3 linked regions of the Drosophila melanogaster genome follow. The protein of the gene in region 1 interacts with the protein of each later gene in a pairwise test. Each region holds a gene or a part of one and is shown on either strand. Other genes may lie near its edges. The genes, in order: CG9757, Acp95EF and GstD1.

Evidence for each region.
Region 2: the proteins of CG9757 (region 1) and Acp95EF interact in a two-hybrid assay, tested with the Drosophila melanogaster proteins (one large-scale study listed by BioGRID).
Region 3: the proteins of CG9757 (region 1) and GstD1 interact in a two-hybrid assay, tested with the Drosophila melanogaster proteins (one large-scale study listed by BioGRID).

Annotation. Positions count from the first base shown.
Region 1 is NT_033777.3:13,610,980-13,614,329, forward strand, and holds CG9757 (uncharacterized protein), read right to left. Parts: upstream 1,455-3,350; 5' UTR 1,399-1,454; coding exon 1,015-1,398; 3' UTR 604-1,014; downstream 1-603.
Region 2 is NT_033777.3:24,226,823-24,229,779, reverse strand, and holds Acp95EF (accessory gland protein 95EF), read right to left. Parts: upstream 806-2,957; 5' UTR 789-805; coding exon 771-788; exon of another isoform or gene 709-770; coding exon 568-708; 3' UTR 501-567; downstream 1-500. Other genes in the region: Spase22-23 (spase 22/23-subunit), read left to right, coding at 1-362; CG13609 (uncharacterized protein), read right to left, coding at 1,562-2,656.
Region 3 is NT_033777.3:12,367,208-12,371,279, forward strand, and holds GstD1 (glutathione S transferase D1), read right to left. Parts: upstream 2,062-4,072; 5' UTR 1,996-2,061; intron 1,387-1,995; exon of another isoform or gene 1,369-1,386; 5' UTR 1,365-1,368; coding exon 735-1,364; 3' UTR 610-734; downstream 1-609. UniProt on the Drosophila melanogaster protein: Conjugation of reduced glutathione to a wide number of exogenous and endogenous hydrophobic electrophiles. Has DDT dehydrochlorinase activity. May be involved in detoxification.

The sequences.
Region 1 (3,350 bases):
AGCAATTTATCCCCCACTGCACTCTCGACTGTATTAAAGCTCTTTTTAGTCTATTTGCACTAAAATTCTTAATCTTAAGCTGTTAAATTCCTTAAACCCCAACTATGCAAAGTCATTAAATCGCTGGGAAAAAAAAGGGAAAAGTCCACTTTTAACAAAGTTCCCAAAGTATACCGTGAAAGTGTAGACTAACAAAGCCTTTTACAAGACTGCGTTCTAGTAACAAGAAATTTTTCACGAGCCAGAAAAAATGAAAAGAGGGTGATGGGGCAACGAGAAAAAAACGAAAACTTTTATCAATGTTGGCGTATGACCCTTGTATGAGTGGGTGGGCTTTTGGAATGGTTGGGTTGGTTGGCTTCACTTTGCGCAGAGGTCAAGGGATAACAAAAGGCGTAAATTTAAAGCCAAGTTAATTTTTTAACAATAAAAGGGGCGCTTGTCAAAAGAGAAATTTTACAGCAAGCGTTTAATCTTAAACGACTTTTGCCATCCAACGCGATTGGCAAGTTAGATAGCAAACGCCAGTGGCAGCAGCCGAAGCAAAGTTTCTTCAATGGACTGCTTTGTTATAAGTAGGAAAAAGCAAACAAACCGTGAACGAACGAATTAAATGCTGATTTACAGTCCAAGAAAAAAAATTTTCAAATTTATCTTCATTTTTATACGTATACTTGTACTGTGAAAGACTGGAAGTTTGAAGGCTCCAAAGTTTAAATACTGTGGCATACTTTTAATCAGCTTCTTAATTTAGCATTGATTGCTTCAAGTCATCCTGTTTCTTTTCGTATCCACATTCATTTTTTTTCCTAGTGCATTCACAAACAACATTTAACCCTGAAGACCAATGCCAATCACTGAAAGCCATGCAAATGACAAGGAAATTAAGTGAATCAAAGAAGAGGGGCAAATGTATTTCGAACTTAATTAGAGCGTGCTTGATTGCACTTTGATTTCAAAGTCTATTTCTAGCGTTTTATGCTTAGTCAGTCACAGATGATTGCTGCTTGGTTTCTAGCCTCCAAATCCGCCACCGAAGCCACCGCCTGGTCCTCCGAAGCCGCCTCCCGGACCGCCAAAGCCGCCACCTGGACGTCCACCAAAGCCACCGCCTCCGAAGCCGCCTTGACCTCCGAATCCGCCGCCTTGACCTCCGAATCCACCGCCTGGACCTCCGAATCCGCCGCCTTGACCTCCGAATCCGCCGCCTGGACCTCCGAAACCGCCTCCCGGACCGCCAAAGCCGCCGCCAAACTGACGTGCTTGGCGTGCTGCCACCGGAGCCTGGACACCTGCATCCACATCCAGAAGTTGCGCCGCCACAGGATCATATGTGGCTGCTGATGAGCCGGCGACCAGGAGAATGGTCGCCAGGGCAAGGCAAACAAATGTGCGCATTTTCGAGGAAACTTCTGCTACTAATCACCGGCAAAGTTTCGATGGATTCTACGAAGTCTCTGCTCTGCGGCCGGTCAATTTATATGATTCGGAACTTATCGACTGGCAATGGGGGAGCGAATAAAAGTAGAAGTGGTTCGACTGGGCGCGGAACATCAAAGTTGTGAGTGTTACGCCAGAACTGAAATGTATACAACGAGCAGAGCGATTCGTATTAACTGTCTGGCTAAGCGCTATGAGCAACAACAATAAAGCTGCTCCATAATAATAACCAAAACCTATTAGGCAACAGAAACGGAGGCAAACTTTTTGGCAAACACCCCACCAAATGTATAGACGAAGGGGGAAAGTCTGAAGTGGCCAGCCGGTTCAGGATGGGCTTTCTCCGGACGACTATTCAAATGCGCAAAACATTCAAGTTTCTTTGGCTCGCACAACAAAACAGATCGATAGACAAGTGGCCAAGCCAAGTGTAGATGGGAAGCATCATCTCAAGTGGGCCTCTCCATTCATCTTTCGTCTGTCGGATTTCGTAAGGCTTTTCAATGCGGGAAGTTCGGGGATTTTGTTTTGTTTGTTTGACTTAATTAAAATCTAAGGGTAAACAGTCGACGCAACTGGTTGTTATTCAAATGTCATCAATGTTGTCGGTTTCATTTTTGGCCAACGCACTGACTCATTTCGGTTATTAGCTTGCTCAGTGGTTAGCACATTTTAAGATCTGGTTCGGTCATTGTTAATCAAGATTTAGCACTTCATTTATAAGTATGGAATATTCAATACTATTTACAAAACAAAGGAACTCTGCCGTAATTAACTATACAAGTGTACGTAATAGTACAAGTGTGCGTGTTATAAATAAAAACCTAGATTTAATAGGTTTATAAGCGGAGAAATCCTAATTTATGAAATTCTCAGAAATACTAATAATTAATAATAATACTTAGTAAACAAAATCAAAAGCCAGTTTGTTGTTGATCTTCAAAACCCATTTTAGGCAGACTCGTTATCTTACATAACAAAAAATGGCGAAACATGTTTTATATTTAAAGCAGAAGAAACCATCAGCTTATTATATTTATTTTCTTATTTTTAATTACTTTATTGGCTGGAAATATTTTGAAATGCTTAGAAAACATTAATTCACCTGACCTGACCTAATATAATAAATGTAAACCAACAATTTGTATCACTTTCTGGAGAAATAAAAACCGAGATACGAAAACTTTTTATTCAATTATGCACTCAAAGTGTCTGTTAAAATAAATCTGCTACGTCTGAAACTTGTATATTAAACTGATTTGCTGTCTGACCTGTCATCCGTCAATTGCCGACCATCAGTTGAGTTCAGTTCAGTTCAACGGGGATAAGGTAAAATGTAGAAAATGACAAGACTGCCTACGTTTTTCACAACATTATAGCCATCCTTCTGCGACGAGGCAAAACTTTGTGTTGAACTTTTAAAGAAGTAACAAACAAAATGCAAGCAAGAAAATATTAAAAACTTTTAAGGGGGACTCGCATTAAAAAAGATTCGCCTTGCTTAAGCAGGTAAAAAACATCTAAATTGAATGGCACGTGATTTAATGTTTATTAGCACTTTTTAGTTTGCCAACATTTTTCATATCAACTAATTATAATGTCATCGTTATCACCATCAAAAAACTATTCAGCTTTCCAAACTAATATCACTTATTTATACCGTTTGAGACGTATTTTCAAGTTTTCATTCAAGGTCGTGTAATTTTTCTATAACGCACATTAAAAAGCTACAACATTTAAACAACCATGAACCTGGTCTACCTATAATTTATGGAATTTTATGGCCAAAAACCTGAACACCTGGCCAATGTAAATCAGTAATTCTACTAATCGTCTTCTGTGAAGTTGGTAGAAGGTAGAATTTTGAGGGTTAAATGTTTGCCTGGCCTTTCTGAAAGTTTTCTGCTGCC
Region 2 (2,957 bases), about 11 Mb from region 1:
AGCACGACTTGGGCTTCGTGACCTTCGATCTGCAAACGAATCTCACAGGCATCTTCAACTGGAACGTGAAGCAGCTGTTCCTGTATCTCACCGCCGAGTACCAGACACCGGCCAATCAACTCAACCAGGTGGTACTGTGGGACAAGATTATCCTGCGCGGCGACAATGCCGTATTGGACTTCAAGAACATGAACACCAAGTACTACTTCTGGGACGACGGGAATGGCCTGAAGGACAACCGCAACGTATCGCTATACCTCTCGTGGAACATCATTCCGAACGCGGGACTCCTTCCCTCCGTTCAGGCCACTGGAAAGCACCTGTTCAAGTTCCCGGCCGACTATGCCACCTCGTCCATTTAGAGCTTAGGGCTAATGCTAAATACAGCTGGTTCCGCCCGGGTTCCCTAGCTTGTAGTGTCTATCTAATAAAACCCCAAATAAAATATCTTTGTAAAGATTTCGAACTGTATCCCAAACGAAAGAAACTTAAGAGAAATTCGTTGAAAATAATTTATTTTTGGTCCATTTTTATAATGACAATTTTATCTATAGCTTTCTATAGTAATTAACCAGCGAGTGACTGCAGAGCGCCAGCACTTAGTTTTCGGTCTTTCGTCTCAAATCTGGGTTTGGCAGTCGAACTAGGGTTCAACACTGCAGCTGAGGTGTTAAGGGATAGAGCTACAACCAAAATAGCAATAAAGAACTGTGCGAAAATTTTAAAAAATATTAGATTTTGGAACGCAGATATGATTAGTACCAACACACCAATTTTACTGAGGCCATGTTGATATCCGCTAAAGAAATCGAAAACTATACTAAAAATGTGTAAAAGATCTCCAATATATATATGACTGGTATTCAAGGCCGCATCGAATGGGTTCGTTTCAAAATTTAAAACTGAATCAAATTCGTTAACATTTTTTACAAGGCTTACGCAATGAAAAAGACTAATTGACCTTTGAAAATGTAATCCTTAAGACGAAGATGATGAACCCAACATATGAAAATACTTATTCGATCAATTCACAACTAATACGAAAAGGAAAGGATTTTGCATTCGGAAGATTATTTTTATTTCAAACTTCCTAAATAGAAGCATTCATTAGATTACTTATTTTACAGTCGGGGTTTTTTTTTTAATGTCTATTAATGCTGCAGCATCTGACATGCGATAACACAGTTGTCCTTGACCTAGTTGTAGAACATAAACATAATAGATGCACATCAAAAATGTTTATTTATAAGATCGGTTAAGTTTTAATATGGCAACGTATGACAGACATTCGTAATACAAACTTGCGTAAATGCATTCAGGAGTTCGCAGTTTTATGATTATTTATCTGATTACATATTTTAGCCTTGGTATGTTTTCCCACTGGGGACGTGCGAGCGTATCTTGTTTAAATATTCTTTGGTCTATATTTATAATAATTAAACAAAAAAAAAAAAAATATCTAATTATAAAACAATACTTTCTTCGATGACTATAAATTTGATATACCTAGAGTTCAAATAAATATTTTAAATATACTTTGAGATCATCTTGAGATACTTGTTTACTCTTTGTTTCTCGCCTTTTGGCGATGTTCGTCTAATACTTCCCGCAATCGCTTGACGAAATTAGCTTGATCTCTCGGAATAAAGCCCAGGAAGGCGTTCCTCGGGGACGAATACAGCAGCATGATAACCTTGCAGACGACCTCGGAGGAAAATCGGGCACAGCCACAACTGCCGGCGGACATTGATGATGCTAGCGAGTCGTGTTCTTCTCCAGGTGTCGATCGGAGAATTATAAGTTTCGAGTCCTTTATAAACGCTCCGGCGAACTGACCAAGATAAATTGAAGGCATCAAAACCATAGGCATATCAGTTGGCCAATCCTCCGCACTGATCCCGGGATCACCGTTTTTTATAGCTATGTACACGGAACACTCAAGCTTGTGACTAATGCTTGGCTCCTCTAAACTTGCTTGTGTCGACCAATTCAGCGATCCAGTCCATAGGAGTTCATTTATAATGGCATCTTCCTCCACAGGAGGCGGTTCTTCTGGCTGTGGCTGCTTGGGTGTTTTGACGCCCGGCTTTCGTTTTGCACCCTGAAGAATCTCCTGCAGTCGTTCGCTAAACGAATCCTCATTGTTGGGTATGAAGCCAACCAAAGCTTGATGATCGCGCGAGTAGATGAGAATTAGAGCCTTGATGTTGCAGTTGGGATTGGAGGGGAAGTGGATGCAACCAGCGAAACCAGAGCTCATCGCCGTGATCAATAAATTGAGTACCTCTCCTTGGCTGGATCGGAATACAACCATCCTGGCATCCTTTAGGAATTGTTCGCCAATTTTACCCAGCACTTTTTTGGGTATCAGTTGTGTTTTCAGCTTGTTTGGCCAGTTCTCCGTGTTGATCTCCGGCTGACCTTCTTTAACCATGGAGCAGATTTTGCATTGGACCGTGTGCAGAGTCTTCGGTTGATCCAATATCTGTGCATCCTCCCATTCGAGCTCTCCACTCCAAATTGTTTCCTTTGAGTCACCATTTTCAGGATTTTCCGGTTCTTTTTGCAAAAGCAACGCCCCAATCATATGTGTTAGACAATCGAGTTCCCCTTCGTCATCACCCACTCCTCGGGCTTCCTCTGGAACCGGCTCCATGCCCCTTTCAAGATGCAATCTAATTAAATATGGATTTTGTCGGATAGGCAACTTGTCGGTTAAAAATTTGTTTATCTGTGATATGCTTCTTCTTGCTTTTAGCGGTTTGTTATTGGTATCGCACTATCGGTTGGCTGGTTGGTCGATTGGCGGCCATCGAGATGCAACGCAATGCAACCCTGGCCAATCACTCTCACTTCTTCTTCTGCGTTTGTGTCAAAACAAAATTAAAACTAAAAACTCGCTAAAACCGTCTCGCAGCGCAATTATCTTTAGACTTCGTGTTATTTATGTGTTTGAA
Region 3 (4,072 bases), 1.2 Mb from region 1:
AATGCACATAATGCACCCATTTTGATAAAAGCTTATTGAGACAGTTAAACATTCTCTCAGAAAAATAACATAAATATCTACAAACTGTGTTTTTATTAAAAATGGTGCCCATAATATATAAAATATGTCGAGATTTGCTTCCTTTTAAATGAATAATTTAACTTGGTAATTTTCCACTTTGTTATCTACCGTTAAAAGCTTTTTGAAGAACAAGAAATTACAAGAGCTGCCTTTCTGATGAAAATTTCAGAACCAAAACGAAATTCACTCTAAGTTTCTAATCTATTTCACCAATGAATTTAAGTCTGATAATTTCTCACTTTTTCCTTACAGATTTTCAAGCTTCTTTTTTGAGGCCTTCACCACATAAAACTAACGAGCATCGCGAAAATATTCTATCTTTTATTATCTTTTTTTGTTTGCCTCTCGATTCGGAGAGATTTAGCAAAAGAGGAAAGAGAATCACCCCTGGCATCAAAGAGAAAATAACGAGCATCAAGAGAGCCCACTTATTCAATTGCAGTCCCTATCCACAATATCCACTATCCACATACACATAGTAATATATGTAAATGTACACCCATCTAAAAACAAACTCATTTGTATTTTGTGCATTCAAAAAAAAGAACACTTATTTATTGTCTTTGGAGACAGGCGAATTTGGAATTGTTGTTTGTGAACGTGAATATAAATACTACATCATATGTACGGGTATAAAAACGTGAATATCAGGCTTATTCGAAGTACTTCTTGAACTCCAGGCATCCGGCCCAGTTCTCCTCCCATCCGGGAGTCACCTTCTTGGCGTTCTCGTACCACCTGTTCACATTGGCGTACTTGCTGATCTCGAATTTGGCCACCTCGAATGTGGACACGGTTGCCACCAGGGCAATGTCGGCTACGGTAAGGGAGTCACCGGCGGCGTAGTCCTGTCCCTCCAGGAAGGTGTTCAGGAACTCGAAGGCGGCCTCGATCTTCTTGAAGGCCTCTGGATCGGCGGGCGCCTTGGCGAACACCTGTGGGTAGTAGTAGTTGGCGAAGCTCTGGTACAGCGTTCCCATGTCGAAGTACAGGCGCTGATTGATCACGGCGCGCTTCTTGGGGCACTTAGGGTACAGGGAGTCGGTCTTGCCGTACTTCTCCACCAAATACACCTGGATGGCGCGGGACTCCCACAGCGCGAATCCGTTGTCCACCAGCGTGGGAATGGTGTGCTGGGGATTGATCTTCAGGAACTCCGGCTTCAGGTGCTCACCGGCCTGCAGGTTGAGCAGCTTCTTGTTCAGCTCGACGCCCACGGCCTTGGCGGTCATGATCACGGAGCGGCAGGGGGAGGAGCCGGGCAGGTAGTAGAAGTCAACCATTTTACTGTAGAAGTTCGAAGAACTATCATTTAGTTACAGTGCTCGCAATAAATAATTTGTAGCCAACTTGTTAAGAAATATTATTATCTTCGCTAATTTCTAACCAACGGTTATTTAAAAGCTTAGGGCATTCATTTGTATTTCTAATTTGGGTTTTAAATGGAAGAAGAATCAAGTTGAAAAGAAACTGAAAACAATTGTGAGTCCGCCATATTTGATTGGAGTGAACAAATCTCCAACTTCTTTTCAAATTTAGATGTGAGCACCAAACTTTTTCAAGCATATCCACAAGCGTCGCATTCATATTTAAATTAACAATCTCCCCCTTCTTGAGACCCAAATTGCTTCTGTATTATACACATTATCCATATGGCATGCAAACAGAATAGATCTGGATGCTAGAAAGATATGCCACAATTAGACGCGCTCTATAATTACAAGTTCAGCAAAAGCGGACTTTAATTGGGCCGCCATTACAGAAGTTCACTTGGCTATGATGTCATATCGGGGCTATAATACGTTCAAATGTTGGTAATTTTCCATGCTGCCAATATTTCCTTTTATTTTTGACCAAACACAGGCACACAATCACAAAACACAATATATATAGAAATTGCTGTGGGGAACTTACATTTTTTTCTTCTGTTGTGAAACTCGCGATGTACACTGTATCAAATGAAAAGTAGCACTGAACGGAATTCGAAGAGCGAGCCCACTTTTATAGGGGCCGGCTGTGGTCGCCACAATGCCGGCAAACAAGAGTTGTAGCTTGAAGCGCCCCGCGGGGCGTGGCAAGGTGGGGAGAGAGGTACAGAGAGAGAGAGAGGGGGCTGCTAGTTGTTGTCGTGCCTGGGTTTTTTTTTTGTCTTCTATTATATTCTGACTTGCCCACACATACCCACTAATGGCGGGCAAAAATGTGACGTTAGCGGCGTGATTAATACACTGTTGTGTGGCCATGGGTGTGTGGAGACGATTGATAGTGTGTGTGTGCGTGCTCTGGAGGAGGTTGCACTCTATCCGTTCCCTCATACACCTCCACCATACCCCCGCAAAAGAAAGCTGCAACTTTCTAATGATCCTCCATTGGAACGAAGCCTTTTACTCGCTTAAGAACAAATTTTGTTACATTTCTTTATAATTTCTGATTTTAACAAACAGATAACAAAGAAGATACAATCCTGCCATACAGGTATTATTAATCGTAGGGTATTTACACATCGACTTGCTAAGATTAGCAAACACATAAGCATGCAATCGATTAGCTTGAAACACAATTTTGCATTTCTAATGAACATCTGTGCGCCTGAAAAAACATAAATTCTTTTAAAATGCAAAAAAAAATAAGTACAAACAAATAAGCAGGCAAACAGAAACCAGATAAGAATTCAAGCCGGCCGGCAAACATTGATATCAGGCAAACATATATGTATGTATGTACATATGTACATATATAGCAACAGTTGTCGAGTATTTCCAACACACAAGCAAATCGCGAAAGGCTCATACCGTACTAATAAGACCATAAAAATATAACCGTTTTTCGAATTATTCAATATACTTTGACTCATAGTAATAATTTTAATGGGTAAGCCCAAGCTATGGTAGACAAATAGTAGTAGATTAAATGATGAGTCAAAGGCACATGCAAATTCGAAATTACTGGTACACATTTTCAATGTAACAATATGGATGGGCTTAGTCCATATATCGATCGACTTTTATTGTTTGTGTTTGTTATGACGGCCTTGGGTTTTAATAAGTAATTGCTGTGACCATATAACATGAAAAGGAATACTAGACTTTCATTTCTTGGAAGTATTTGATACTATCAAAGGCGAACACTTGAATATTCCTGCTACACTTCGCTGGGGGTATTTAATTTCCCCAAAACAAATTCGCTTTTATCAGTTTCACAATTCGCAATACCAACTATCAGCATGACCGGGCAAAAAAATTCAATAACAAGTAGGAAAAAATGGAAAGAGCATTTTCGTGGGCGACACGTCAAACAAATTGCGCTCTTAACGTCGAGAACAATCCACAAAACGATTGTGAAATCAAAAATTCCGAACCCCAAGTTCCGAGAGTTACTCATTTGAACATAATGCCGAAATCCAGCTGAATCATGGGAAACACGAGATCGTAAGTATAAGTTCGCCAATAACTGGTTGGGTTAATTCACCAAAAAGCCGGCCCAAAAGGTAGCGTAAAATGTAGAGAAAGGTCACTGTGTTTGCCACTGCAGATCAAAAAAACCAGTTGGACGGCATTGCCAAATGTGCGTCACAGGAAAATAAAGTGAAAAGCGCAAACTATTTAAAGAGCAAAGCCAAAGAGAATGGATAGGACGAAGAGCCCCAATAATCTCTTACCTCCACATCATCGAGATCTTCTGCCGGCCTCCCATATGAGCACATTTAGCCTACATACATCTACTTTCTCGATTCCGTTTGCCGGTGATTCGCTTTGTGTACAGCTGCGCTGATCTTTCTCCGATCTCCGCTTTAGAATACATATTATACCATAAAACTGAATATGTTCAAGTTTAGATTGATATATAAAAAAGTAATAAATTATTATTATTAAATTTATGAAGATCTGGGGTGTGTCCACATGTACTCTTACTTCCATATGACGGCTTGAACATACTTTTGAACATATTTTTCGAAATGTCAACAAAAAATGTTGAAAATTTTTCCTGTTCT